7 linked regions of the Coturnix japonica genome follow. The protein of the gene in region 7 interacts with the protein of the main gene of each other region in a biochemical or structural test. Links are inferred from orthologs where the notes say so. Each region holds a gene or a part of one and is shown on either strand. Other genes may lie near its edges. The genes, in order: CEBPB, CASP7, CCNE1, CDK14, USP4, CDK6 and RB1.

Region 1 (4,186 bases), on a different chromosome or scaffold from region 7:
AAACCCACTCTCTTGGTAAATAAAAACTCCTCTGGATTCAACTCAGCACAGACGATTAAGGAGTTCCTATTGTGGGGCACTGGGAATCTGGATTTTAAAATAGTGCTTCAAGTTGGCCTAACAGGAAAATGGAACATGCTGAGTAAGACCCAGTCCTTCTCTCAGCTCCGTGCACATAACCAGCCCGTGAGCTGCTCACAGAGCTCTGGTAGCAGCATGAAGGGCACGGCAGCAGCACATCTTTCCATCAGCAGGCAGAACAGAGCTCCAGCCTGATCTATAGTCTAACAGAGCCTGCCCCATCCTCACTTATCAGCTGCTTTCTCCCAGCTAACAGACACACAAACACCTCTCAACAGAGAAACTCCAGCTACAGGCTTGAGAAGAGCATCACAAGAGGAAAGTCAAGGGGTTGGTGATGTGCCTCTCACCTGGCGGCTTTCGCGAGAGCTTCCGGGCAGTGACCACATTACCGACATCCAATAGAGGCGCTACTTTCTCATGTTTATTCCTGTAAACTACAAACATAAGACACACTGAATCATAATTCAGAGAACAGGAACTCCTCGAAGAAAAAAGAATTAAGTGAAAGCTTCCTCCCTCACTTTTTCTTTCTCCCTCCCACTTGAGCCTTGCAGTTATTTCACCAGATTGGTCACGGTTTGGACAGCACACCTCGCTCTGCACAAATGGAACAGCAAAAAATGCAAAAAAAAAACCACCACCCCAAACAAACGCCTCTTCCCAGGCAGTACCCAAGTGGCAGCTCAAGCAAGTGATTAGAGGAACCAAACTGAGACAGCGAGGACTGGCTGGAGCCTCCAGCGCTGCTCTTTGCTGGTTTCTCTTGGGGTTTTTGTTTTTGTTTTTCTCTGAGTCGCAGAGAAAGCCAAAAGACCAACGCGAGTCCTATCCCTGCTGGCAGCGCCGAGCCAGATCCAGCTGGAATGTCAGCCCTGCGTTTCATCTGACTCAAAACGCACCCTCAAAATAAAACAAGCTACTTTTTTTAACCTAGTCATAAAGTTTATTAAAATCGTTCATTAATGCTTCAAATGTAGCAAGAATGCATAGATCCCAAAATATACATATGTATTTTCATATAGAAATAGATTATTCTTTATAATAAAAAAAAAAAACTGTAGGAACATCTTTAACAGATTACTCAATCCATGACTGACAGTTACACGAGATTGCATCATGTACACAGCATTCCCAGCCATGCTTAAAGGATTGCATCACTTCGCCCTCGCTCTCCTCTCGCCGTTTTAAATAACCCCAGCGCCCAGCAGAGCCCCGGGGCCGCGGCCCCCCCCGCGCCGCCCGCCGCCCCCTGGCCCCGGGGGGAGGAAGCAAATAGAGACCGAAACAACAACAAACAACAACAACAACAACGAAACCCCCGACGAAACCGAAAACGCGGCCCGGCCCCGGGAGGAGGATGTGGGGGGGGGGGCAGCGTTCAGCTCGCCCCGCGGCCCGGCGCGGGGGTCAGCAGCGGGGCGAGGAGGCGAGCAGGGGCTCGGGCAGCTGTTTGAACAAGTTCCTGAGGGTGCTCAGCTCCCGGGTGAGCTGCTCCACCTTCTTCTGCAGCCTCTCGTTCTCGGCCGTCAGCTCCAGCACCTTCTGCTGCGTCTCCAGGTTGCGCTGCTTGGCCTTGTCGCGGCTCTTGCGCACCGCGATGTTGTTGCGCTCCCGGCGCAGCTGGTACTCGTCGCTGTTCTTGTCCACGCACTTCTTGGGCTTGTTCTTGCCCGCCGGCGGCCCCGAGTAGCTCCCGGCGCCGGCGGCCGACTTGGAGGACTCGGAGGGGTTCGGGGTGCCGGGGGGGCTGGAGGAGGACGAGGTGGACAGGTTCCCGCTGCTGCCGCTCGGCACCGACTGGTAGCCCAGGTAGGAGCGCACGGTGCTGCCGTAGGGCGAGGACATGCCCCCCGGTCCCGGCCCCGCTCCCCCTTCTTCCTTACGGGGCCCTTTGCAAGAGTCCAGGGTCTCGAAGACCGGCTCCACTTTGGTCTCCACGATCTGGGGCGGGAAGCAGCCCGGCAGCCCCCCCGGCTTGTGGCTCTGGCTGCCGCACGGGTGGCCGTGCCGGGCGAGGCTGATGTAGGTGTAGTCGGGCTTCTTGCCGCCGCCGCTGCCTTTATAGTCCTCGGCGAAGAGATCGGAAAGGAAATCTTGGCCGCCGCTGCTGCAGGCAGGCTCAAAGTTGCCCCCTGCTGCTGCTGCGGGAGGCGGCGGCTGCGCCGGCTGCTGGGATGCTGCTAAGGGGTCCAGATACGGGCTGAAGTCGATGGCTCTCTCGTGGTCCCCTACGGTGAGCTCGGTCATGGAGCGGCCCCCGGCCGCCCGCGGGTGCAGCTTGTTGAGAGCAGCTAGACAGTCCGCCTCGTAATAGAAATTAGCCACTTCCATGGATTTAAAGGCGGGCGGCTGAATGGGGAGGCATGCTGCGTCCCAGGCCACCAGGCGTTGCATGAAAGCAAAGGGAGATGCGGGGAGGAGAAGACGGCGCGGAGGGCCCCCCCGGCACGGAATCGAGCGGCCGCCGTCGGGTGGGGGTCTCCCGAGCCCGGCGCTGGGCACGGCCCCGCTGCGCTGCCCGCCCGGGCGGCTCAGTCCGTGCGGCGCGGCGGGGCTCTCCCGCTCCCGGAGCTGCGGCTGGAGCTGGCGGTTCTCCTGCGGACCATCTGGTTGCGGGGCCCGTGTCCTCAAGTCTCTGACTTAGGAAAGTTCCTTCGCTCTGTTATTTATAGGGGCGGTGGATCCCATAGCAACAGGCGCGTCACCGCCTGGCCGCATGCCACGCTGCACGCTTCGGAGCTGCCGCTCCGGCCCCCGGGACGCCGCCGGCTGCGGGTGCGGGTGAGGTGCGGGCCCTGGGGCAGCTGTGCGGGAAAGGGACCGCACGGAGCCGCCGCCGCCAGCATCGGGGCGGCCGAGACCTCCCGTCCCGTCCCGTCCCGTCCCTGTCCCTCGGCTGCGGGGAAAGCGGGCACCGCTCGGTCCGGGACTCCGGTGCCGCCGCTGCTCTTTTGCCAGCGCGACGGGCCTTTCGCGTCTGAGAGCAAGGGCTGGCGCTGTGGGGCCGCGTGTGCCGCGCAGAATTGGGTGCAAAACCCGTCTGGGTCCCGTTTTACCCCTGGGGAAATCGAGGCAGAAGGCGTTTTTCCGAGCTCTTTTGCCAAAGCGGGGGAAAAAGCTGCAAATAGAAGACAGATCCTCTTATTCTCCGTCCAGCGCCTGACTGAGTGAACCGCACTGTCAGGCAGAACCGTCCCATTCAGACGCGGGCAGAACCATTTTACAAGAGCCGAGCGAGCGCAGTTTGGAGCGGGGCGCAGCCGGGGCCGCATCCTGACGGCAGCGAGCTCAGAGCCGAGCAGCCGCCGCGCTCCGCTCCCCATCTCTGCGTGCGGGGACCGTGACTGAAGTTTGCCTCAGTGTATTTACTTTGCACGATACCGTGCAACTGTCAGGGTACAAAGGCGACAGGGAATCCGCGGTCTGAAGCCAGAGGGGACCGTGTTTAAAGGCATTCCTTTAAACTCAGAGAGAGTGAGATACGTGCTCGGAACCGTGGAATCCGGGCACTGTCAGAATCGCGGGGTGAGTTTGGGAAGGAAGACGGAATCTCGATGTCCGTTTTAATTAAAGACACCCACCTTGGGAATCAAACTTTATTTTCACTCTCTTACTCCCACATTTACCTGTCTACAAGCTGGTGATTCATCCCCAGAATAAAGGACATTAATTTAAAACAAAACATATAATTAAAGGAAGTAGGAGTGTCCTTTGCCTCAGTAAAGAAGACCCAGCACTGCAGGGAAAATGACACTGCCTCTTAGAATAATGTGAAGCAATCCTGCGGTGTGGGAAATATGGTAACGTTAAGCCAGAGGAACAGGTATTGCATTATACGATTCAAACAGTCAACTGTTCATAATGTTCAAACCTCAAAACTTCGAAAAGAGGAAGAATTCAGAAATATGTCAGTGGATCACCAGACTTTGTCTTTCTTATATTTTTACGTTTACATTTCTTTTGCACATTTCAAGATGGTTTTGCTTTCCATAACAAAAGTACCCCAACAGGTTTTTGGGCTTCAAATATTTCTAGTTCTGTCCTTATCTCCAAGTTAATCTTTGATGAATGCACCGGAGATTAAATTGGAGCTGGGCCTGGC
Region 2 (3,720 bases), on a different chromosome or scaffold from region 7:
AAGAATGTTTCTGTCTAAGGAAAGAGACCAGAGTGACCACTAGTGGAGTGAGGAATTAAAGCATGGCTGTGGTTAAAAACTAAAAGAAGAGGGAACAGTTGTAAAATATAAGTTTCTATTTAGACTGGACAAGTTTGAATCCAAAAAAACAGGGAAATTAGACACTGGATATCAGAGAAGCAGAAAGAAATAAAACTAAGAGCAGATAGTTGACAACAGTTTATAAAAGCACATAATTAACTCATGGAAATGCTCTCAGAAATCACTGTGATTAGAAAGCTTAGAGAACAACGGTGGTAAACATTTATGTTAATGTGTCCAGTTCAAAGCTTAGAAAATCACAATTTGTCTAGAAAGCTTTATGCTTTCAGTCATAAGACAGCCTGTCACTGACAAGGAATTTCCCTTTAGGACTGATTAGTACATTTTTATTACATTATTAGTCATTATTACAAGGTATGATTTAATTTGTTTAAACTGAAGATTGGAACCTCAAACTGTCAGCTTAAGCCACTCAGGCAATTCCCAAATTGCCCTATTTTGGCACAGCAAATAAAATCCTAAAAAAAAAATAAATAAATAAATAAAAAAAAAAATTCTCCCTGAATTGCAGTGTGGGATAAGTGTACAGCACAACCTTTGCTTTCTTATTCATTCAATTTGGACAGATACCAAAAGATTTCTGGAACTGTTTTGTTGTCTGCCAGTAAAGGAACGACAGGCGTAACCCCACAAGATACGCTGTGGTTGCTTATTATCTGATTATCCTGTTAAGCTTGGAAGCAATCACTAGAACAAAACCATAGTATCCTTTGTGAAGGAATGGGGAAATTAAAGGATGGATTCATGTGGACTGTTTCACTGGCAAGGCTTGTCTGTGACCTTTGATGTTGAACTGCATAGAGCTTCTGGCATGCTTTTGGGAATACCAGCAGTAGCTATATCTCTTAAAGTCCTGAGAATTTCTGCATGAATGAGTGCAAACTATTGAACTCGGAAGTTAAGTGGTTTCAGAGAAGTTGTGTGGCTGCTTTACTGTGCCACTTAACCCCAGCTGCTATTTTCAGCAAAGATCTTTGTTGGGTAATGTGACTGCGTGACTTGTCTCGAATTAGATCATTTCCAGCAGTGTAAATATGATATTGCACCATGTAGGTAGATCTATCCCAGGTGTTCAGGACTGTTCATGGATTGAACATCAATAGAAATTTGTGTCTATTGTCCCTTGTGTCATTTGTCCCTTGAAAACATCTGAGTATGTGTAACATCCACGGATAGTCATACAGCATATTCAGGAAGTCAGTGAAGGTGGATACATTTGTAGAAACTTGAATAGGGCATGGACTGAGGAAATTAGTCTCTTCACTGACCTGAGTGCTCACTTCTTGTTTTGAATTTTCTTTTTCCCTTTTCTTTTTTCCCAAGAGTTGTCTTTGTGATGTTGGACTAGGGGGAATTTTAGGCCAAAATAAGAATCTGTGATCTCTTTGAAACCCATCATGCATCCATAACATCATGCAGCTGCGGATAACTCTTTAAAATGGTTAAAATCTTTTCTTGAGGCAAAGCATATTTAATTATTGCTCTCAGAGCCCTCAAGAAGCAGTATGCAGGGAGAATACCAATATTTGTGATTTGCCAGAATAAAACCATGTACTTTTGGAGTATCAAATATAGTCCTCAAGTAGGTATAATTCAAAATCTTCTTTCACAGTTTCTAAAAGTCTAAGAGAGGAGATGACATTAGGATGATGGGAAAAAAGAGTATGGAGAAAGCCTGCCAGATGCAGCTATTTAATTTGGTCACTTAGAGCATGAGGACACTCAAAGATAAGAAGAAACTGTTTTAAAATTGAATTGCCATGGCATTTGAACATGATGAATCATCTAGAGATGCTTTATTATGGTTTCCAGTTAGTCTTGCCCTTTAGTAATGAAAAATAGGACACTTGGAGACTCCAACAATTGCTAGAGAACAACAATTGTTAAGTCAGGAAGATAAGAAAGTACATTTCCTAAACAACATTTAATCAATCCACAGCAATCTCATCTGTGAGGACTATTAGTGAAGCAAAAAGCTTGGTAATTTTCTAGAAAGATGTCAAAGTGGGAACAGTGAAAGTACTTCATTGACATTAATGGTACAAATCTAATTTTGTTAAAATGTTGCAGTACTGCTAGTTGTGCTGAGAAAATAGGTTATGTTTTCCTCTTATACTTCAGCAATGAGTACTACTGGAAGCAAGATGCTGATACCTTCTGCTCTTTCCCAAGTATTGTTTCTAAGCAGGCCTGCTCCAAGGCTTGCTTGTATTTCTGAAGTTTCATCAGAGCCTTTGAAGGCTTTCACTGGCTTCAGTTCTGCTTGTAGAGATCATCTCAATGTCAAAAATCACTTGGCTGGACAAAAAAGTCCACCTCTAAAAGCAAGCACTGCTGAGTTCCTCATGCTTGTACCTCAGATGTGCATGCTGGTTATCACAGATTCATTCTATAGTATTTAATTTAGAATAAATTTCTGGGTAAAGTCCATGCTGTATCTCACCATCTTTTTCTAATTCAATCTAAGACTCCATCACAAAGCAGAAAAATCACTGCACAGTTATACTAATGGAGAATGTCTATAGGATTTTCTTGTTTGTTTATAATGAGGTTGAGATAGTGATGACGTCACACTGAATGGCACTTAGTTTTTAGCATAGCTTCAAACTATCGATTGACAAACCACGCTAACAAATGAGCTGTCAATATCTATAACCTTTATCAGTACAAAATACCTACTGCTCTTTATCACTTTCAGAGAATTTAGGGATGATTCAATAAACAGATCCCATTATGCCACATAGTAAATTGTATCTGCTTGTAATGCTTGCAGTAGTCATTAAGGAAGATCTGTCTGGGCTTACATGAATCACTTACAGTAAAATTAAAATAGTACTTACATTTAGAACCATAGTTTGCAAAAGACTGCTGCCAGCCTGATATTTGGTCATGGTCTGTACGCATTGCAGTTGATTGCAGCTCACTCAAGAGTGATTTTACCATCATCAGTATCCAAATACTGCACGGAAATCATGAGACTTAAGCCATGAGTTAATATCTCTACATCTCTGTATGAAATACAAAGAAAAAAAAATATAAGAGAAATAAAAACATCAGGTAGTGCTGCCCCAATGGTATGAGTTAGAATAAATAAGCACATTCACATGACAGGTCATTAACAGTGTTTTCATTTGATTCACACAGGAAAAAGAAGAATGGAGAAGAAGAACAACCAAAGTCCACCCTCAGTAACCAGTACCGAATTGTTACACCCACATTCCAGTATAATATGAACTACAAGAAGGTTGGCAAATGTATAATTATAAACAACAAAAATTTTGAAGACAAAACAGGTAACGTTCTTTGTCTTACTTGAGAAGGGAGGTTGGACCACACGACCTCCAGAGGTCCTTTCCAACCTAAACCATTCTTCGATTCTGTGATTCAGTGACACTTATTGCAGATACTTTCATTAATCAATAAACCTGTTATTTTTAGGACATGGAATTTTAATGACTATATTCACTTTATTTGATAAGCAGTTGTTCATACTGTTTGTTCCTGTTCTTTAATCCTTATATTAGAGTAGCTCTTTACAGCTCCTTTGCAGTAGGTGGTTAAAAAAAGTACATCAGCTTGTTCTGCCAACTTTTAACTCAACTTCTGTCCTAGAATTTA
Region 3 (4,241 bases), on a different chromosome or scaffold from region 7:
ACTAATGAATTGACTATGAAGATGCCATAAAGTGGGATGTGACTACGATATTTTGCCTCATGTATAACCTAGTGTCAGTAAACAGTTTATTTAATGTAGAAGTCACGTGGAACAGGCTGCAGAGGATTTATAGCTGCTTGCATTTTAGAATTGTTGTGCCTCAACAGAATAACTATCTCACTGGCTATCATACAAGCCTGCGATACTGCTGCTGGAACCATAAACATATTCTCATTAGTGGCCCATGGCAATTTATATCAGAGAATAGCTTGTGTCAAGCCATAGACTGAAGAGCTGCTGCTGTGCAGCCAAATGTTAGCTTTTTTAAACAGATCTGTAACAATCTGGCTACTTTGTCATAACAAAAAAACCTTCTCTGTGTAGAGACTGATACACAGGTATCCATTTTTATCTACAGTTTACAGAATCAAAGGGCCAAAGTCCCACCAGCGTCCTGAAGACAGCTTGGAAAATTCCTAAATTAATACTTTGGATGCCTCCTGCCTGAGTTATCTGAATATTGCTATACCTATCGTTCCTGAAGTAGCATTTAATAGCAACACCATATAGAAAGAAAAAGAAAAAAGAAAAAGCCCCAGTAAATTGGAAGCCTGTATCCCTGTATCTACTTCCAAAGCTGAAGATCAATGTATGCAAAATATATTTCAAGCCGCTTTTCAAATTACAATTGCAATAAGGGTTTTTTCAATGGTACCTTATTATTATGGAATAAACATTTATTAGAAGCTCTTCCAGAATGTTTTGCTAAAGGAGGGGTCTGCAGTGAAGGACAGGCAGCTCTTCCTTGTCAGTAGTGAGAAATTAGTTTAATATACTGCACAAAAGAAAGACAGAAGGGAAGGAGAGATCCCCTCATTAAATGCTCACCATTTGAGCCCTGCTTAATATGTTGACTGATAACTAGTGTACGCAGTTGCAACAAGCAGAGGCCATTCCAAACAATGATGCCCATCTGTTATGGTAGCACTTCAGTCTTAGAACTTCCAGCTGCCACTTCTGGTTAGATGTGCCACATTATGCATAGCCTCGCGTACCAAATGAGTACTGTCTGTACTCCCTGATCATGACTTTTGCAGCTTAAGTATCACCCTGCATGTGCATTAACTGGCTGAAGTCCTTGCAACAGAGTGAGTGAGCATGTGTGTGCATATGCACAGGAGAGAATCATAAACAAGAATAAACCTACTTCCGAGAGGCTGATTTTGCTCTTTTATTTAGAGCAAGCATCTCAATGCACAAAGGCATCTTGCTTTCAATACCAGATACCAATAAAGCACCCAATATAAACACGACTAACGTATCAAGATTGAAGAACTTAAGAACAGCACTAAGAAGTTTAGGGGATGCTACTGGAGTTCAGTCTGACTTAGTAACTTGGATCATGCCAAGTGTCCTATTTGGAAACTGGCACTGGCCACCAACCCCAGCGAGCAGCCTCATTTGTTCTTTGGCCTACAGTATAAAAGGCTTTTAACAAATCATCCCTTTCATCTGCAGAAGCCTAAAGCCCACATCACCACCACAGTAGTATCCAGTACTATAAACTCCTAATCTGGAACTTCAAGTACTCCCTCGACCTAATAAAAACACTTGCCAATGAGAATAGAGCTAACTAAGAGGAACAAGTGATCTTTCCTCTCTCCCAGGTTATATGTAAGCATAAGACAGGGTTACAAAGAGATCCATCTCAAAACTTGGTTCTGTTTGCGTGCCAAAGGGCTGCATGCTTTGGCCTGCGGGATACAGCACGTAAGTGAACCACTGAACTCCTACAAGGCTCCAGGTACGTCAGTGTGGAAAACTAAGTGTGTATGAAGGCTTTTGTAGGGCACAGCCTGGCAGCCCCGGGACATTTAGGTACACTGAAGCATTCACGTAATGGTTTAAAGCAGTGTAGGCTTCATCCCTTGCAAAGGCTCCAAAGCAGGCCATGCCACTAAGGTGGTTTGTGGCCTTCAACAGCCTGGGCTGGTGGTCCCCTCAACCACCACCACACAACACGGGGTAACTGCATATCTGTGTAATACCAACATCCTGCACCAACAGGCTACTAAGACCAAAGGAAGGTGATCTAAGGCCACAGTCATTACCTGGCTTTCATATTGCTTTTTCCTACTCATTTCAATTTTGGCAACTTCTTCATCGGGATCCTGTAGGAACTACAAAAAGAAAAGAAGGGATTTAGGGCCGCTCACCCCCCCTGCAGCACATGGCCACCCACCCCCCAACAAAAGGCCGCGGGAGCAGCTCCAGGCCCGCACCGCCCTCCAGGCCGTGCCGTGCCGCCCGCCGGGCCTGCACTCACCGTGGCCACATCGGCTTTTCTCTTGCGGGCCCGCACGGTCCCCTCGGCGCCCCCTTCCCCCTTGGCGGGAGCCTTCTCCTCCGCGCAGTCGCTGCCAAGAAACGAGAAGCGTTAAGAAAGAGCCGCCCACCCGGCCTCGCTAACGGAGAAGCCGGCCTACCCGCAGGGCCGGCCGGACTCACCTCTCCCTCCGCATGCTGCCCGCCGCCGGACCGAGAGCACGAGCGGAGCCGGGAGCCGCAGCCCCCACAAAGAGCCACGAGGCGCGGAAAGGCCCCGCCGCGCCCCGGGACCCGCTGAGCGCTCAGCACCCCGGAGCTTCCCCGGACACAGCGCGGGCGCGGCGCTCGGTGCCCGCCCGACGGCGGCGGGGACGAGGCGGGGCAGCTCGTGCGGGGCACGGCACCGACTGCGGGCACCAACCGCGGGCAGCTCCTGCCTCACGGCGCGGCCGCTCCCGTCCCTGCGCACATCGCGGCCCGCACCGAGCGGGACATTTAAACGCGCGGCGCGGGGCCGCCTCCCGCCCGCACACGTGGCCCCGCGCCCAGAGCCGGGGGCCGGCACCCGGGTGGGGCGGGGTCTGCGGGCGCGCTCCGGCCCCGGGGGAGCGCGGGGCACCGCGGGGAGCGGGATCACACGGTGTGAGCAGGGGCGGGGCCGGCGGCACCGGGCGGAAGCGGAGCTGGGAGGGGGGCGGGAGGCCCCGGGCGCGACCCCGCGGCGGAGGGGTGAAGCGAGGTGAGCGGCTGAGCCGACGGCAGCGGGACCAAAGACACGGGCTGCCATGGCGGGGCCGCGGCTCTTCGGGCGGCTGCGGGCGGCGGTGCTCGGCGTGGTGCATGTGGCTGCGCTGCCAGGTGAGCGCGGGGCGGGACGGGGAACACGCGGCGCTGCGGGACCCGCTCGCAAAGTGGGCGGCATGGCTGTAGGGGTCGGGGGAAGAACGGGCACCTGAGGGAACCCGCAGCGCTGGGGGAGCGCTCAGAGAGATGAGGGATGACGAGATATAGGCCGGGCGGAGTGCACAGGCCTCGGGACAGCTCGGACACGTGGCTCCCTGTGGTGCTGCGTCCGGCCCGAGTTCTCATGGCTGTGTGCCGGGCCGTAAAAGAGCTGAAAGTGCCGGTACAACACCGCATCAATACCCTCAGATCTGTGAGTGGCTTCAGGAGCGAGCAGATACAGCTGAGCTGTGACGTTCAGCAAAGGGGAGCACATCTCGTTTAACTGTTTTACCCCATTTCTCTCTATTTTATTATGTCAGCGCATATAACTGCGTTATCAGAAAAGCATCACTGGCTGTATGGCTTGCCTTCACATTGGGGTAAATGGCACTGTTGTTGCAGGGACACCGAGAAATTCTCTTCCGTTGGCACAAATAATTGAGCAAGCTTGTCAAGAAGCAGAAGATTACAAGGATGCTGGAGTTGTAAGTCCTGGTTTCCTTCTTCCCGTGGCAGTATTTACACAAAGCTGCTTCTGCACACCCAGTGAATTGAATTGAGTCTGAGTGACCTAGAAATCATGGAAAGCACCTAAAACCACCGAGTTCAGGAAGACATTTAAACCTGCACCTTTTATTTCCACACAAGTAGGCCCTCCAAGTATCAAAACCTGAACTACACAACACACACACCCTGTGGAACTGGAAAAGCTTAGATTCAAACTAATTTGAGTCTTTTAAATAGGATTACTATCAATTCCCAAGAATCAAGTCAATAAAAGAGAAAAAAAAATAAAACAGATGGAAAACTGACAGCAATATGAACTGTTGCTGGCATTCTAGGTATCTGGATGTAGGATGCTTCATCATCCAGTCTGACAAGCTGCTTTACTTAGCTCTGCTTGGCACACTGCGTTCATGAAATCATGGCACAGACATACGTACTGAATGACTTGCCTACAGGCTGTA
Region 4 (4,336 bases), on a different chromosome or scaffold from region 7:
ACTCTATCCCTAATTGCCCAAAGAAAGCCACAGACTGAATTAGGGCAGTGTTTGTGCAAGTCTCTGCTGGGCAGCACAGCCCTCAGTGCGACTTGTATGCACAGGGAGAGGAAGGGCTTGAATGCTCAGCATTTGCTTCTGGACCAGAATATGTGTTTTCGTGGTGGTGGCATTTTCCTCTTCACCCAGAGGAGTACTCACAGATACTAGCACCAGATGTAAACAGAGATCAAACTCCTTGACTGTTATCAGGGACTTAAATGTCATCTTTTGCACTGACTGAATAAAACATCCTGAAGTGTATGTGTTCTCCCAGTCCCTTGTCTGTTTCTTCTTAATTTTTATATACTTATATTCCTGCTTTCCTCTCTTCAGTGTTTCAGTTTCCATGTCTCCATTATTTTTTTCCATAATACAAAATACCCAACATGAAATCAATTTTAACTCCTGTTTCAAAGATACTAAGAGGATCAGTAGGACTCACACCTCTGACAGCCCTTCTGTCTAACTGTAGACTCAGGGTTTGTGCACAGGCCACCCTACAGCCTTCTGGCCCCGCTCTATGGCAGGACACTTCCCCATGACCTCATACATCACAAGAGCACACGCACAGCAGAAAGCAACGCCCCTCCTAGGAAGGCCCCATGTTAGCCCCACGTTTGCCATCCCTGTGACAGGCAGGTCTGATCCCAAATTGCTCACAATTGCAGATGGTTCAGACTCAGCCCACATAAATGCTTGTCTAGACAAATGTGCTTTTAAAATTGAGTTAGCCACTCTGAGCTGGGGCACAAATTAATCCTGTAAATTGTGTTAACTGGCCTCATTAAAACCCAAGTCCTTTTTAACCAGATAACATGCATTAAAACAGCATTTAAAATGTGTAAACCTCAGTTTTAAAGTGTGTTTGTTCTCAGAAAAGGACGTGCTTTCTATTTTAGACCAGTCACAGACATCTGTCCTGACGGGTTAAACTGATTTATTTTCCAGTAACATTGGTTCAATCGAGTTAACCAGATCAAAAGCTCTCAGTGCTCATTAACCCGGAGAATAACACATATGAGAGTGAGTTACCTGGCTGCGTTTTAGGGCTAGGTGGGCACTGCAGACCAGGTGCCCTTCTCCCACAGCCACTCGAGCATCAGCTCAAAGCCAGGGGCTCAGCCAAGAGGGTCGTCTCATCGCACCACCAACATAAAGCGCTCGCACGTCCCTTCAAGGCCCCCATCTTGTACAGCAGCCTCAGGGCAGACGGGGGAGGACGGCTCCGCCTGGGGGCACCCCGTGCCCGGCCCCCGCCCGTCCCAGCGCCCGGCGGGGCGGGGCGTGGTGGGACACCGCCCTGTGGGCGGCCCGGGGCCGCAGCCCGGCTCAGCTCGGCAGCCTTAGTGAGCGGGGCCGGTCGCCTCCTTCTTCCCTCCTTCTCTCCCAGCCACGGCTCGGGGCTCCTCCTCCTCCTTTCTCCTCCGGCTCCCTCCCTCCTCCCTCCATCCGTCACCCCCCGGCCGCACTTTCCTTGCGCCGCTCCCGTTTGCACTTTCCATTTCGCTCCTCCGGGGCAGCCCGGTAAAGCGGTCGGGCCGGGGCTATGAGCCGTGCGGGGAGAGCAGCTGCTGCCGAGCCGTAGGGAGCCGTCCCCGGGCAGGGCCGGGGTGTCCCGCTACAGGCGGCGGCTCCCGGGCAGGGCTCTCGCTGCCGTCCCGTCTCGGGGCGGAGGGGCCCGCGATGTGCGACATGATCGACTCTCAGTCCGCCGAGAAGATCAGCAGGATGAAAAAGTTGCGGAGAACTTTGTCGGAGAGCTTCAGTCGAATAGGTGAGGCCCGCGGCGCTGCCCGGCGTCCCGGGGGGAGCGGGGGGTGCCCGGTAACAGCCTCATGCGGGTACCGCTGGGGAAGATCGGTGTGAGCTCTCAGCCCGTGCTCGAGTTAGCACGAAACAGGCTAACAAAGTGAGAATCGGCATTGCCCAGCGTGCTGCCAAACTGAAACCTTGAGGAAAAAAAATGCGGGGAAGCGAATTGTTATTGTGTGGCTGCGGTTCTGGCCGCTTATTTTTCGTTCCGGCTGCACATTCCTGGAAGTTGAGGCATGAGATGCTGAGGCTGATAGAGCCGGGTGGGAGACTGGGGAGGGCGGACAAAAGAAGTCGGTCTGTCATCGCCGCCGAGCCGTGCAGCGCAGCATCCTGAGGCAGCGATACCCACGGCGTCTCCCGGTACCGCCGCTTCGCGTTCGGCTTTGACACCGCTCGTTTTGCTCCGGGTTTTGTTCTGAGAACAATACCAAAGAGTTCAGCCGCCTTTGGAGCCGTATTCCTGCCGGATAGTGGAGCGATGCTGGGCTTCGTCCAGCGCCGGTTGGAGGTGTTGCTACGGACTGCCCGCAGCGGCGTGCTCAGAGCCGGGGAGCGGGGCGAGGTGCGAGGCGGCGGCGAGGGGCTGGGCTGGAGGCCGCAGAGCCACCGGGGAAGGCCCTGGCACAGCCCTAACCCTGCGCTCACACCGGCAGGTCAGGGGCCGTCGGGCAAATCTCGGCTCCCAGAGCTGCTCTGTGTCTCTCTGAGCTGTGCTCCCTCAGAGCCCTGGCAGGGAAGCGCACAGCACGTGTAAAGCTGTGATACCCAAGTAGTGGTGAGGTACCGACACAGGGGATGCCCAGGGAGGTGGCGGGGACACCATCACCGTTCACAACAAGTGTGGATGTGGCACTGAGGGATGTGGTCGCTGGGCACAGTGGGGATGGGTTGGTGGTTGGACCGGGTGATCTCAGAGGTCTTTCCAATCTTGATGTTTCCGTGATTCTATGAACTTTAGCTTGAAGTGTTAGGAGAGCATTTGACATCTGGTATCTTCCTCGTTTCCTTTTGGTTCGATTGCTAAGGTGGGTTAGACTGGAAAGAGCTCGTTTATGTTTGCAAAAAAATTTCAAAGGTGAATGTTTCAGTTCTGAAGTGGATATTAAGTCACAGTTGCAAGTCCCTCTGTTTCCGTATGAGAATATCTCTCACCCATATTCAATCTTATGTCTTAAGGCATTTTACCAGTTTGATTAAAAAAGTCACTCAGGAGTTTGATCTGTCACATGCTTACGTGTATGTACGGACACAGACAGCCTGGTACAGACCTGTGGGCAGGCTTTGCCAAGTGGAAGTCATTAACAAAGACAACACTTTAAATGGAAGTGCTGCTTTATCATTGCAGCATCGGTCCCACTAATGCCTTCTTGGCACCATGACCTCTCTGAGTGCTAACTAGTGGCTTTCTTGGGTGATTGTCTCTTTTGGTTGCTGGAACTAATGAAACACTTCAGTTTCTGTGGGAGTTTTGGCTGATTTAGGTGCCCTCACTGTTGTGCTTTCTGTGTACCAGGGCCCTTTGTGCAGTGCCAGAGCTGTGTTTGCCTGTTGGTGCTGTTCTGTTGTTGTAAGTCAGCTGCCACCAGCAAAGCTGTTCCACCCACAGATGCTCCGGTAATGTGAGCATCACGCTATTAAGTGCACTGTGAGCAAAAAGCTCTGATTTATCAGATTGAGGTTTGAACCGAGCCCGCTCCCTGACAGCCACAGCCGCAGATAAGCTCAAGCAAAGTGAGCCTCTGTTCAGAAACTCTCGGTTTGCATACCAGGAAATGCTCAGGTGTGACACGTGCTCCGCTTCACTTCTGTTTTGAGATTAAAGGGAGGAAACCAAACCCTCAGCAGAGAAAGCTCTTATTTTTATCACGCTGTTTTCACATCTCTTTTTGGTAATTGGGTGCTACTTGGTCAGGTCAGTAAGTGACTGAGTGAATCTGTATCTGATCTTCAGCTTTGTCAGTCATCCATTCCTTTACAATTTTTTATAAATCTGTGACAGTCTTTTAACTTTTCCTCTTCAATGTTTTCATAGGTTCAGGTACCTGGCAGCATTATGAACACGCTGGTGCAGATGATGCAAAGCGATGTGATCTTCCCCTGCCGAAGCAGAGATATCTCGGTTAGCTGGGCAGGGCAACATGGGGCATCTCCCAGTGCTACCAGCTCTCAGCTGCTAAATACAATCCTTCCAGTCCTACAGAGCCCCTTAGTTTTGATACTGTGGTTCCTGTTAACCTCTTTAGTAAGAGTAGCAGAAGTGCTTGGAGTTGTCATTGGTAGTGTGTTTTTGCTTTGGTAAACCAACACACAATAACTGCCTTCAAGACCACTTTCTCCCCACTGAGTACCACAGTCTCTATTTGTGGGGATGAAAATCAGCAAGGAAACCAAATGCTGATTTATTTCTTTTTTTTCTTTCCCAGTGTGCAACAGTATGCTGAGTAATGTTTGAAACTACTTTCCAAAAGGATAAAACAAT
Region 5 (4,510 bases), on a different chromosome or scaffold from region 7:
CAGCCCCACAAAGGGATCCCTCCCCAGGTGGGAGAGCTGCCTGCTGGAGCTGTACACAGTATTCATTCACTGCTAATTGCAGAGAGATTCGTTTATCTCCTGGCTGCTGGGGCTGTATTGGCTGGAAAGCAAAGCAGCAGCTCCAGGGCAGATGCACACCAGCAGGATGATGTTACTCCAGGATGAAAATCAGCCAGCAGAAATACAAACCATCCTGCTATAAACGTGCTGCAGTCCCAGCAGTAAATGTGCAGAGCAGGTGAAAGCCTCAGCCTCACTCCCTGCCTGCTGTAATCACACCCAGGCAGCGGGTGGTGGTGGAAGGGGCAGCCTGGAATCATTCCTTAGTGACACACACAAATAAGAGCAGTCCTCGTGCAGGCTCCTGCACTCCAACACTACTGTGTGTTGGAACCACGTGGGAAAGAGACATTTCACTGCACTCAGATGATTCCGTAGCCTGAAGACATTGCCCCTTCCATATCTGGCTCTTATCTACACTCCTACACCTTCCTACTGTAACATGTGTCTGCTAACAGCTACTCCCTTGCCAGCGCACACCTTGCCCTTCTATTCCTCCACCCATCAGCCCCAGCTCCCCCCCTTTCCCAGAGTGTTTGGCTCTCCTTCCCCACACCTCATGACTGGGGTGACCTTCTAAGCTGCCACCAACTCCTTGAACCTTTAAAGGAGTTTAGATAGAAACAGTCAGGAGCTGCAGATAGAAACTATCCTGCCTTTATCTCCCGGCTTCCCCAGCGTTCTGCCCATCAGACTCAAGCACATCACCCTAAACCATGGACCAGAAGTGTTTTCACAACAGAAATGCCATCAAAAGGAGAACAAAACAAGCCTATTAAAGGCTCTTTTGGCTGTTTTATAACTCCTTTCTCCTTCCTGATGAGCCGCATTGCACACACCATCTTTGCACACATAATCCTTGCACACACAAGCTTCCAGAGGACTCGTTATCACTGTTTTTCATCACGGCCATGGGCAGACAGGAGGAAACACCTCTGACAGCTCTGTTAGCAAGCAATGAACGAGGCGATTCTGTTCCCTATGAGGGAGGTCACCATTGCAGGGCCCAGCCATGTGTGCTGACTCACTGTGACAGCCATGACTCCACTTGTGGCTGCACTCTTAACCCCGCTGGCACTCACTGATGGATCACCCTGCCCTGCTCAGTGTTTAGATAACAGAGCCCCTGAACCGAGCAGATAAGGAGGCTCTGCTGGTTGTTTGCACCAAGGAAACAGGAGGCGCTGTGATACTTAATGCGTATGTTGCGATACTTCATGCGATACTTAATAAGTCACGTAACTCTGGGAAACCTCCGCACATGTAACACACGAGCACCACAAGGGCGGCTCGCAGAGGCTGTTCCATGACTCCTACCAGCCCCTCATTGCTCAGCTCCGCCTTCTCTCTTTAATTCCTCTCCCAATCCGACCCCCCCCCCCCCCCCGGGGGAAGCGGGTTTGGGGGGGGTCACAAAGCGCAGCACAGCGGAACTCAAAGCGCCGGGCGCGGATCCCACCCGGCCGAACCACGCCCACACCACTTCCGGTCAGCCCGGGTGGGGCCGTAAAACGGCGCCCTCGCGCAGAGCGCATGCGCACGAGGCCGATTTCCGGTAGCGGGGAGGTGAGCGCCGCAAGATGGCGGCGGCCCAGGGAGGCGGTGGGACGGTGCGGCCCGAGCTGGGCCCGGAGCCGGCGGACTCGGCGACCGTGGAACCGGCGGCGGTGGAAGCGGCGGCTCCGAGCCCAGAGGAGCAGCGGGCCGAGCTGAGGCCGCTGATGGCCGCGTCCATGAGGCTGGGGGAGTCCTGGTGAGCCCGGCCGGCCCTCGGCCGCCGCCCCGTCCCTGTGCTGGCGTTGGGCTGGCAGCGCTGAGGGCCGCGCCGGGCCGTGTGTTACAGGTACGTGCTGACCAGCCGCTGGTTCGGGCTCTGGAAGCGCTACGTGGGGTACGACAGGTGGGACGTGGCCGGAGTGGGAGACCCCAACCTCTTCCCTGGGCCCATCGACAACTCGTGTCTGCTCGGAGGTGAGTGCGGCCCCACGGGGGGTCCCCGGGGAATGGAGGGTTGTAAGGGAGCCGGGCCTTATGTGCGTCTCCATTCCAGATGGGGAGACTCAGAGCTTAAAGGAGCATCTCATCGCACAGCTGGACTACGTGCTGGTGCCCAGCAGCGCCTGGCAGAAGTTGGTTTCGTGGTATGGCTGCATCGAGGGCCAGCAGCCCATCGTGAGGAAAGTACGTTTGGGTGGAGCAAGGTTTGCTCAGCGTACCTTTGTTATCTTATCTTTGGGGCTGAGGCTGATTGGATGGAGGCCAACGAGACCAAGCACCAGGTCTTGCACTTCGGGCACAACCCCGGGCAATGTTATAGGCTGGGGACGGTGCAACTGGGAAGCTGCCTGGAGGAAAAGGATCTGGGGGTGTTAGTTGACAGCTGGCTGAACATGAGCCAGCAGTGTGCCCGGGTTCTCAAGAAGGCCAAGAGCATCCTGCCTTGTGTCAGAATCAGTGCAACCAGCGGGAGGTGATTGTCGCCCTGTTCTCCACGCTGGTGAGGCTGCACTTCAATTACTGTGTTCACTTTTGGGTCCTTCTCCAAAAGAAAGACGTTGAGGCCCTGCAGTGTGTCCAGAGAAGGGCAATGGAGCTGTGAAGGGTCTGGAGCACAGTCCTACAGGGAGCTGCTGAGGGAACTGGGTTTGTTCCACATGGGGAAGAGGAGGCTCGGAGGAGGCCTTATCTCTCTGCAGCTGCCTGAAAGGAGGTTGTAACAAGGTGGGGATCAGCCTCTTCTCCCAGGTAACAGTGATAGGATGAGAGGGAACGGCCTGGGGAGATTAAGTTGGACATTGGGGAAAATTTCTATTCTGAAAGAGTGGTCAGAGACTGACACAGGCTGCCTGGGGAAGTGATTGAGTCACTGTTCCCAAAGGTGTTCAAGAAAAGGGCAGATGTAGGACATGGCTTAGTGGGTATGGTGATGGTGGGTTGATGGTTGGACTTGGAGATCTTTCTAACATTATTCTGTGGTGTTTGTTTCACTAGTTGTGTGTTGAAAGAATAACATCAGGTTATGTTTAGCTTGTTGTCTCCAATAACGTGACTTGTCAATGTTAAAGTGCCTGAATCCTCATTGACTCTCTGTGAGTGGGTTACATGGGGTGAGAGCCGTGAACCTTGTTCCAGTTACCTTCATATGTTTATGATTGTTTGGAGTAGTGCAGTGCTTTCATGTTGCGTGCAATAGTTCAGGCTGTACTCAATGGGACAGAACAGGGCACTGGGATAAATTACCTGTTAATGCAGGTGGTTTGGGGACTTCCAAACAAGAACCTGGTTCTTGTTTTCTCTCCTAAAATTCTGGCACTCTCAAATCCAAAAAGAAGAGACATGTTTGTGGTTCTCTTTTATAAGCTCATAAGGTGTTTTTCTCCTGCATATGTAGTTATGAATGCATTCTGAGTAGGTAAGCCATTCTGAAAGGTAGAATCATGAGTCGCTCTTCTGAAATCAACTGAAATCTGTCAGTTGTTTACAGGTAAAAGGGGCTTTGTGGTTTTTAGTATTGGGTTTTCAGATCAAGTGTTGGCAGCACCGTAATTGTTGAGTGGTAGAGCTTGGAGCAAATGCTGTTTTGTAGACAAACAGTCTGGGTTGTCACGGCTCAATTAAAAGTAACTTCTTGTTTTAGAGTCTAGGATTGTTGCAAGAACTTCAGTCCGTTGTTAACCTGCCCACTGCAGTGGATTTTGCTGTTAAAAACACACCTAGAACAGTAGGACAAGGAAGTGAGCATAGTATTTAAATGAATAAAATAGCAAGTGAAAGCAACTAGCTTTTTGTCAGCCACGTGTAGTTAAGGAATAATACTGGTGGACTCACCATAGCACAAAGCTGGGAAGTTAAGTGTGAATTAATTATGAACTGAGCAGTTCATTGTGCACCAATGAGCTGAAAGCTGATCTCAGGGTAAAGAGAAATGCTCTGTGTCAGGGTATGGGGGAGGGCAGTTGTTGTCCCACAGCCCTGTGAAGCTGTGGCATCAGATGGTATGGATCTTCTCAGCTATTTTTTTCTCTTCCTGCTCCACTGACATTGTCAGATAACTGGCCTTTAAGATGTGCTTCTTTTATACTTTATGATTTTGTTTTTAATATCTTATTATTATTTGTGTTATTTTGCATCTTTCTGTGAGCAGGTGATGGAATTTGGTCTATATGCGAAGCACTGTGAAGTTGAAGTTTATCCTCTTGAGCTGAAGCTGTGTGAGAGCAGCAGTCCTTCCAACGTGATCAGCTGCTGCTTCAGCAGAAGAGACAGTGTTGGTAAGTAGCTCACTCATGCATTAAGCTGTTCTGATGCTTTGTCAAGAGGCGCTTTGTATCTTGCTCTGGAAGGAAGATGTGACTAGAACAAAGTCTAGCAGTAAGGTGGTCCAACTGGAGCATGTGATCTCTTAGTAGGGCCTGAGGGAGCTATGGTT
Region 6 (3,720 bases), on a different chromosome or scaffold from region 7:
ATCATCTGCATATTATTTTCAGGCAAGACCACCTCAGCATCAACATGAGTTTTACCTTTAAACAGGTATACTTTGGAAACTTTCAGCATACCTACAGGGTTCAACATGCCAAACTAGCCAAAATCACAACAGAAGCTAGACTGCTGAGGTTTCAGAAAACTAGCACATACCTATCCTTCAGAGATCAGTCAGGATTTAATTTAGAACCAGCAATCAGTAATTGATTACTTTTACAAAGTAACCATAACAAATTCAGTCCAGGCAGGAAAGCAATTGTTTTGCAGACCCAAGTAACTTTAACAGTAGAGATGGTTTTAGAATCAGAGTTACAATACGCTGTTTATCAGAGCCATAGAGACTAAAGGACTGTGCCGCATTAAAAGAAAAATAAAAGCCTCCAGAAACTCACCACTGACGTAAGAGCCATCTGAAAACTGTAGATTCGTGCAAGGCCAAAGTCAGCTAACTTTATCTGCCCACTGCTGGTTACAAGGATATTTTGGGGTTTCAGGTCCCGATGCACCACACGATGTGAATGCAGAAAATCCAGTCCCCGAAACAGCTGAAGCATCATATCCTAAGTATAATGAAATCAATATGCAGTTATCAAGACAAGGCAAACAAGCAAACACCCAGCCACAGTCTGCAGAACTAATTTAAGTAAGTACTGACTTGAGATAAAAACACCTATTAATATAAAATGGACAGGATATTGCTAGAACCTGCTGACTTGAATAGGTGTACTTATCAAGTTCACGTATCGTTTCTAGTTGAATTATTTGTGGTTAATTGTTAAAAATATAAAGACTGGTCAACAAACTTAAAGAACAAAAGCATGTCTGCAAAACACATATCAGCTTTGAAAGAATGCTGTCCAAGTAAGAAAAATATACTGCAGCATTTTGGTTTTAACTTTAAACCACGCACCACTTTGCACCTCCCAGCTGTCTGCTTTTCTTGCCTCAGTGAAGTGAAATCTCGTTATTCACTTCAATAGGCACAGGCTCTGTTTCAAACAGAAAAGCTAATTAAATGACCATTTTGTCAGAATTTAATGTTTCAGTGGGAAAAAAGTTTACTTGTCAAAACCCATTCTATAGAATATACTGAAAAGTGTAGAAACTGCTTAGATCAAACTTTAGCACTAAATTAGTGTAATAATTCTCAGTTGGCTTTCTGTTGTGTTATAGTGATGCAATCTTTTATGACACTTCCACAGCAGAAGACACTATTTCATCTGTACTCATGTTTTCATACTCATCTATGTAATATGAAAGGAATGAACCAAGAGACTCGAAAGTAAACACTAGAAATCCCCAGAATTCCAAATGAGAGGGATACCATCAACTGGCAAAGTGTATTTGCAAAACAAACAGCTACAAGGAAATGTTGGAGTGAGTAAGAAACAAAAGGAATATGTTAGGATTTTCTGTGTGCACTTGACTCTAGTTGATGAAAGTCCAGCCCTGTGCTTGCTGCTAACATATGTGCTTTCCACAAGCAATGCAGCAGGCTCTCTGCCAATCCTGTTACTAGCAACCAAAATGATCTTGAAGAGGTGGATGGTATGAGACACAAGAAAAAGGTAGAAGGAAAAACTGAGTTTGGTTGCTTTTGTACTGTGATCATCAGAGGAACAGGAAAAACCTTAGACATTTTTACAAGAAAACATTCAAAGCACACTATGAAAAGGAATCCTATCTGAAAATTGATTTTAAAATAGCTCAAAATATTCAACTTGATAATATTGCTTTAGCTGGATGTATTCTTAAGATAAACTTTGACACTGCTATGTAATTTAATATAAAATGAAACGTCCCCAGCCATCACCACAGAAAATATTATATAATGTATAAATACTAAGGCTGGAAGCTCTAATCTGACCTTTGATAAAACATGCCCATTATTATATACAGCCTATAACTCCTTCTGCCAAACAGTAGTAACAGTGGGCTGTTGATATAGAGATCAGTTTTGATTTGAAGACTCAGAAAATGATGATACGAACATGAATCTATGGAATCTGTGGCAGTATTTAATTATAATGACCTCTGAAGGATGGTGGTAAACTGAGCTCTCCATTCTGATGCCTTTTATTTCCTTTGCTTCCTCAAGAAAAACAGATCTGGTCATTTTGGTAACTAGCGTAATAGGGTTTGCTCCCCTAAAACAAATATACAAAGTGTAGTGAATCCTCTTGTATTTATGTATTTTCCCTTTGCAACTCAGAAATATGTGGAAGAGCTATGAATACAGCTCTGCAGGTCCCCAACACCAGTAGAATTGTGTAATACCTGGTCACTGTTTTAACTTAAATCAAATCCCAGTAGTCTTTGAAAGAGCCTTGAAGAGGAACAGAACATAGCAAAAACATTTAACCATGTGGTTATCTTAAGCGCTTACTTAATGTTTTCACTGAATTTGGGCTTAACTATTTTATTCCAGACAAACATGATACCAGAAAAAAAACCAACCTGAATTTAAAGAACTTCAGTATTAGTCAGTAGACCCTGGCAAGTCCCTTTTTGTGACACTTCTGCATCCTATTCATTTGTCAAGAATGTAAACTCATTCCTGCAGTTACCAAACATATCAAGAATTCTCTCAAGCTGTTTCTGTTTCATATTTCCCCCTGAAGCTCGGTGAATGCAGTTCTGCTCTGCTAGTTGCAAGTTGCAAGCAACATCTTCAGTTTCTGAATTCACAATCTTCCAGGCATGCATCAAGTATATATACATATATATTTGAAAAAGGAAATTGGTATTTCTTTCTCTACTTCCACAAAACTCGAAAGATTAACAGTATTTACTGAAGTTTTGTTCACACACACAGAAATCAGGAAATATCAGGAAAGCGTACATTAAAAATGTATTACGGAGGGAAACTGGGGGAAAAGTGCTACATTTCTTCTTCAAGGAAATCCAGATTCACTCCACATAGGCTATTCTCTATTGTTCATTTTGGACAGTTGGTTATGCTCTTTTGTTTTATTAGCATTATTCCAATTGCCACCATTTGTTCTATGTCTGCATTTCCCTGAGATACCTTCTACAGTACCTTAACATACCACACTTTTGATTTGCAGTTCAAATCACAATTCATAAATCAACTGAAAAATGATACAAACAAGAAGATTCATTTCTTCGCAGATTTGAGTAGCAAGCTCTAACAAGTCACGCTCTAATCTCAATCTGATATTCTTTGGGAATTTTATACTTACAAATAGATACCAAATAGCAACGGTTGTTTCAAGTTAGAGATTTCTACCAATCTCACCAACCCTACCATAGCTGTTGATTGAGTTGAAAATATATATATTATTCCAAGTGATTGCTTTCAGATAATCATGATCTTAAAGTTTTCCCTTTTCAGGCTGCATTTTCAATGCAGTCTATGTACAGACCTAAAATGTTTATCTGTAACTGCTGAAAACAGCTATTCTGGGATGCGACGAACCAAGATACTTTCCTTAGAGACAAAAATGTAGCTTTAACTTTGCAAAAGTCTCATAATGGAAACAGTAAGAAGCAGAAATTTTTAGGGAAACGACAAAAGTTTTATATGTTCTACCACATGTGGTTTTGGTGATGGCATTCCCAAGTCTGATATTTACTGAATGCTGGGACCAAATGATGAGAAAATTTTCAAGTAGTGCTATATTATATCAATAATACATAGAAATACTCTTATTTCTGCTCATAGTTGACTCCTAGTACCGAT
Region 7 (4,363 bases):
GTGCACCGTGTGCTGCAACAAGATGGGCTGAAATCAGACTCTATGCCTCAAGGTCCTCTCCCATAAAGAGACCAATAAATAATTCCAGTATATCCATTTACTCCATCTAGAGGCTCAGAGGCATCACTGCTTCTTAACACAGATTTAGGAACAGTTACAATTAGAGTCCATTCAAGAAGCCAGTTTCCAGAGTCAACAGCTGTCAGGGTGTAAGAGTGAAAATGACTTTAGAGTATTTAGAGTATATATAAACAAGTATTTTGTTTACCTAAGTAACTTAGTTTGGTAGACAAGAAGTAAAGTCTTTTGATGACATTAGCACAGAACTTACCTATATACGCACTACCATGTTTATATGATATTTGCACTGGAGCTCACCAGATATAGGAAGAATTTAAAGCAAAAATCATATTTCTAGTCACATATCAGATATCTTCTTCCATCAGCAGTGCTGCATCTGAGGAATCAACCTTTGGGATTCTGCCTGTGAGGTTCTGAATTACAGTTTTGTTGTAAAATAGTGCAGTTAAACTCTGGTTGTCACAGCTTTAATATTCCCCACTGAAGAAGAAAAACACTACCACATTTAACAGAGTTGTAATGTTTTAAATGGCTTCTCTCCATAGGGTTAGAATTATAAGCTACAAGCTGCTCTCATACAGGCTATGAAAAGGAGAGGGCAATACTGTCTCCTTCTGCAAACCTCTCACCAGCATTCAGCTGTTCAAGGATCCACGACTCAGCTGTGATACAGAGCAGCTGCATAACCTTGACTCAAACTGCTGAGGAAACAAAGAAACCGAGAGCAGGATGAAAAGCTGCAGTGTGGACATCTCAAGGTGAGGAAGGTAAAATTACAGGACAGAAGAAAGATCATTAGTAGCTCACATTCAAAAGGGGAAGAAGAAAAGCACAACATGAAAAGGTGTAAAGCCTTAAAGGAAAAAGACAGCAAGCCAGGTTTGGTGGCTTCACAGAGGGTTCATTTCAGAGAGCAGCAGATACCAGCCTTTTTCACACTGGCTGATGCCTGCCTGGCCAGGCACCCTGAGGTATCTTAGTGGAGCACAAGCACACCCAGGCTCATAGGTCCCTGTATCCCAGCTATCTTGGTATGCACTTTCCAAAACAGTAATAATATATATAATATATATATAATCTTTTAGGGAGCTAGGAGATATGGTTTGGGGGTTTTCTGTAGGTATGGTAAAGGGAGGATGGTTGGACTAGATGATCTTATAGGTCCCTTCCAACCTTGTGGTTCTATGATTCTATGAATAAGCTTTGATTGCAGAATCTCTTTGCAGACAGCTACACGTACCCTAGGTGACAGCTAATACTAGTTATTTTTATTACCATTCACTGATTAAGGATACATCAGGTGTTCAGATCAGGCCTAAGCCCATATTCACACCCTGAGTGCCCATCCAGTTATACAGCATCTTACATTAGGGCCACGCTGCTTCTTCATTAGCCCTCCAAGTTGTCCCTCAGAGGATTGGCATTTAAGTAGAGCCTTACCCTGAATGCTCACTAGCTACTGCAAAAAGTCGTGGTGCAAAGACATGGTAACAGCTCAACTTGGGAAGAGAAGCAGCAATTAGCCAGGCTGTTAATTTGCTGGATTTCAGGCTCAAATTAATCATAGAATTATCCAGGTTGGAAAAGACCTTGAAGATCATCAAGTCCAACTGGAGCCTAACCATAGTACCCTAACTCTAACAACCCTCTGCTAAATCAATAATGAAGCCTGCATTAGTGTCAGCTACAAGCAGCAACCCCAGCACCTGCTGGAGGCACACACTTGCCAGCATCCCTATCCCAACACCTTGCTGGTCTGTCAGGAAGTCTGAGGAAAATGGACAAGATTGGGCCAAAACACAGCACAGGCCTTTTCCTACACACTGAGAGACTCTCGGATAGGCTTTATTGCACAGTGAGAGGCGGTGGGCAGCTGCGCACACACACATGGAGGTGACCTGGATAAAGATGTTCACAGGCTGCTGCTTTCACAGATCAAAGGGACCTCAAGAGGTGCCCCAATCCAACCCCCTGCCAAAGCAGGTTCCCTACTGCGGCTCACACGGAAAAGCGACCAAACGGGTCACACACACATCCAAAGTAGACACTGCAGCCTCACGGAATCACAGAATGACCCGGGTTGGAAGGGACCTCAAGGATCATGTAGTTCCAACCTTCCTGCCTGGCAGGACCACCAAACATACACCTTTACTAGATCAGGTTGCCCAGGGCCCCATCCAACCTGGCCTTGAACACCTCCAAGGACGGGGCATCCACAACCTCCCTGGGCAGCCTGTTCCAGGGCCGAACCACTCGTGCTCCGTCACTCCGCCGTCCCGCAGCCCCACAGCGGTCACCACACTCACCGGAGCCCCGTCGGCGGCCGCCAAGCTCTCGTACGTCCTCCAGGCCTTCTCCCTCACGCTGTCCGGCACCTTCAGCGCATCGCACAGAGCCACGAACTCCGCTTCCCCCACTTCCAGCCTACAAAAGCATTGCGGAACACGCTGCCACCGGCCGCTTCACGGCGGGGACGCGCGGGCCGTGTTTGCGATACCGGCGCCGTAGCGCTGCGCTTACCGGGTGCCGCCGGGCGGTGAGGCGCTGCCGCCGCCCTCGGGGCTGGTGCGCTGGCTCCTGGCGGCGCCCGCCCTGCGAAGGGGCTTGGGCGGCATAGTGACCGTTGTGCCCCCGCCGAACAAGCGGCCACCAACGGGCCCCGCTCCTTTTCGCTCCCCTCCCTTCCCTTCCCAGAGCCCAGACCGCGGGAAAATCGCGTCAAGGCCCGCACGCAACACGCCGTCACTTCCGGATCGTATAATCGTCAGCGTTATTCCGCTTCTAACATGGCTCCGTGCTGCCCTGAAGGGGTTAATTCGGATCGTACAATCATTTGAGGACCCCTAAAGGCCATTCGGTCGTGAGGTTCTCCTGGACCCCACTGCTCGAGCCTGCGTGGGTCTCTCTGAGGGATATCTCATCCCTCAGGTGTATCAGCCACACCACACAGCTGGATGGCACCCACAGACTTGCTGAGTGTGCACTCGAACCCGCTGTTGATATCATTGATGAAGGTATTAAAGGACACAGCATCATAGCATAATCCCAGTCTTCACACCGCACAAACCTGCTGCAAACCAGTTTTCTCTAACACCAAACCTTACTGGTACTGGAGAGGACCTGAGTCCTCTCTGAAATGGAACCATTCCCCCCTTGTCCTATCACTGTCTACCCTTTTACACAAGTTGGTTCCCCTCATGTTTATAATCCCTTTTTAAACACTAGAAGGCTGCTATGATGTTTCCTCACAGCCTTCTCCTGGCTGAACAAGCCCGGCTCCCTCAGCCTGTCAGAACCACATATTCACCAAGTGTGCTCATAACGTTGTGAAATAACATTGCCCTCTCCTCACAACTGGTGTTAAGAGCACAGAGGAGCTCAAAACCAGAGCAAAGCATCTCAGAAAACTTGGTCATGACCCTCCCAGCTGTCAACAAGGAGGAACACACCCTCCTGGGCAGTTCACTCACAGCTGCTTCAGCTGCTTTTGGAGCCAGGCTCTAGATCACCCTAATGATAAGCAAAGAATCTGTGTTGCTCTCATAACTCCCTGTGTGTTAACGCTTAGGGAATATTGTATCCTATTCAACAGCTGACAACCAGTGTCAGTGTAAATACTGCTTTTCTAACCTCAGTGTGCCAAGCCTGAGCTCAGGTCAATGTATGCAGCTTTTCATCAGACAAGGCACTCAGGGCTCTCTTCCATACACAGAAACAACTAAAAAATATCCTTATTACTTCACACTACAGCTTACAGAGAACCGGAAGGAGAAGAGGAGCAGCAGATGAACTACAGTAACCTCTAATCCATCCCTCGGTTACAGTGACTACACCTAAAATGCAGCAAGATCTAATGGGTATGTATGTACTTCATAAGAGAGATACATACATAAAGCTATATGTAAATTGCTGCTTTTCTTTTTTTTCCTCCCTAGATATCTAAGTGTTTTAGTCCTGTATTTAAAAACATCCCCTTTTAAGTGTAGCCTTTTGCTTTTGGATTAAAATGACAAAGGTAAGAAGAATAAAGTATTAATTATTTTTTCTCATCAGATCGGGCCATAATTTGGTTCTAAACATCTCGCTCCAACAGCTTATAGATTGCAGGTCACACACAAGCAGCCCTCTGTGCAATGTTCCCCACTCAGGCAGGCCTGAGTCATTGCTCCCAGCTGCTGAACAACCTGAAGTAATTTTGCTATTTGAATCTTTTTTTTGTTTAAAAGCGTTGCTATAGTTTCACAGTCATTGCCAATGGGAAAGTCATGCTTTCATTGCAAAT

The links.
Region 1: the proteins of RB1 (region 7) and CEBPB form a complex in vitro, tested with the Homo sapiens proteins (2 studies listed by BioGRID, with this or other methods). The link is inferred for Coturnix japonica from reciprocal best matches to the Homo sapiens genes RB1 and CEBPB.
Region 2: of the proteins of RB1 (region 7) and CASP7, one has a biochemical effect on the other in vitro, tested with the Homo sapiens proteins (2 studies listed by BioGRID). The link is inferred for Coturnix japonica from reciprocal best matches to the Homo sapiens genes RB1 and CASP7.
Region 3: of the proteins of RB1 (region 7) and CCNE1, one has a biochemical effect on the other in vitro, tested with the Homo sapiens proteins (9 studies listed by BioGRID). The link is inferred for Coturnix japonica from reciprocal best matches to the Homo sapiens genes RB1 and CCNE1.
Region 4: of the proteins of RB1 (region 7) and CDK14, one has a biochemical effect on the other in vitro, tested with the Homo sapiens proteins (2 studies listed by BioGRID). The link is inferred for Coturnix japonica from reciprocal best matches to the Homo sapiens genes RB1 and CDK14.
Region 5: the proteins of RB1 (region 7) and USP4 form a complex in vitro, tested with the Homo sapiens proteins (2 studies listed by BioGRID). The link is inferred for Coturnix japonica from reciprocal best matches to the Homo sapiens genes RB1 and USP4.
Region 6: of the proteins of RB1 (region 7) and CDK6, one has a biochemical effect on the other in vitro, tested with the Homo sapiens proteins (9 studies listed by BioGRID and IntAct). The link is inferred for Coturnix japonica from reciprocal best matches to the Homo sapiens genes RB1 and CDK6.

The regions. Positions count from the first base shown.
Region 1 is NC_029535.1:12,271,836-12,276,021, forward strand, and holds CEBPB (CCAAT/enhancer-binding protein beta), read right to left. Parts: upstream 2,858-4,186; 5' UTR 2,479-2,857; coding exon 1,492-2,478; 3' UTR 484-1,491; downstream 1-483. UniProt on the Homo sapiens protein: Important transcription factor regulating the expression of genes involved in immune and inflammatory responses. Also plays a significant role in adipogenesis, as well as in the gluconeogenic pathway, liver regeneration, and hematopoiesis.
Region 2 is NC_029521.1:24,417,392-24,421,111, forward strand, and holds part of CASP7 (caspase-7), read left to right. Parts: intron 1-2,942; exon of another isoform or gene 2,943-3,110; intron 3,111-3,246; coding exon 3,247-3,395; intron 3,396-3,720. UniProt on the Homo sapiens protein: Thiol protease involved in different programmed cell death processes, such as apoptosis, pyroptosis or granzyme-mediated programmed cell death, by proteolytically cleaving target proteins.
Region 3 is NC_029526.1:7,172,449-7,176,689, reverse strand, and holds the start of CCNE1 (G1/S-specific cyclin-E1), read right to left. Parts: upstream 2,858-4,241; 5' UTR 2,523-2,857; coding exon 2,509-2,522; intron 2,418-2,508; coding exon 2,327-2,417; intron 2,181-2,326; coding exon 2,112-2,180; intron 1-2,111. Other genes in the region: uncharacterized protein F13E9.13, mitochondrial-like, read left to right, coding at 3,114-3,186, 3,676-3,758. UniProt on the Homo sapiens protein: Essential for the control of the cell cycle at the G1/S (start) transition.
Region 4 is NC_029517.1:19,844,356-19,848,691, forward strand, and holds the start of CDK14 (cyclin-dependent kinase 14), read left to right. Parts: upstream 1-1,364; 5' UTR 1,365-1,725; coding exon 1,726-1,816; intron 1,817-4,336. UniProt on the Homo sapiens protein: Serine/threonine-protein kinase involved in the control of the eukaryotic cell cycle, whose activity is controlled by an associated cyclin.
Region 5 is NC_029527.1:1,689,890-1,694,399, reverse strand, and holds the start of USP4 (ubiquitin carboxyl-terminal hydrolase 4), read left to right. Parts: upstream 1-1,621; 5' UTR 1,622-1,661; coding exon 1,662-1,834; intron 1,835-1,924; coding exon 1,925-2,052; intron 2,053-2,131; coding exon 2,132-2,262; intron 2,263-4,225; coding exon 4,226-4,352; intron 4,353-4,510.
Region 6 is NC_029517.1:20,770,394-20,774,113, forward strand, and holds part of CDK6 (cyclin-dependent kinase 6), read right to left. Parts: intron 578-3,720; coding exon 410-577; intron 1-409. UniProt on the Homo sapiens protein: Serine/threonine-protein kinase involved in the control of the cell cycle and differentiation; promotes G1/S transition. Phosphorylates pRB/RB1 and NPM1.
Region 7 is NC_029516.1:151,017,762-151,022,124, reverse strand, and holds the start of RB1 (retinoblastoma-associated protein), read right to left. Parts: upstream 2,819-4,363; 5' UTR 2,697-2,818; coding exon 2,602-2,696; intron 2,506-2,601; coding exon 2,388-2,505; intron 1-2,387. UniProt on the Homo sapiens protein: Tumor suppressor that is a key regulator of the G1/S transition of the cell cycle. The hypophosphorylated form binds transcription regulators of the E2F family, preventing transcription of E2F-responsive genes.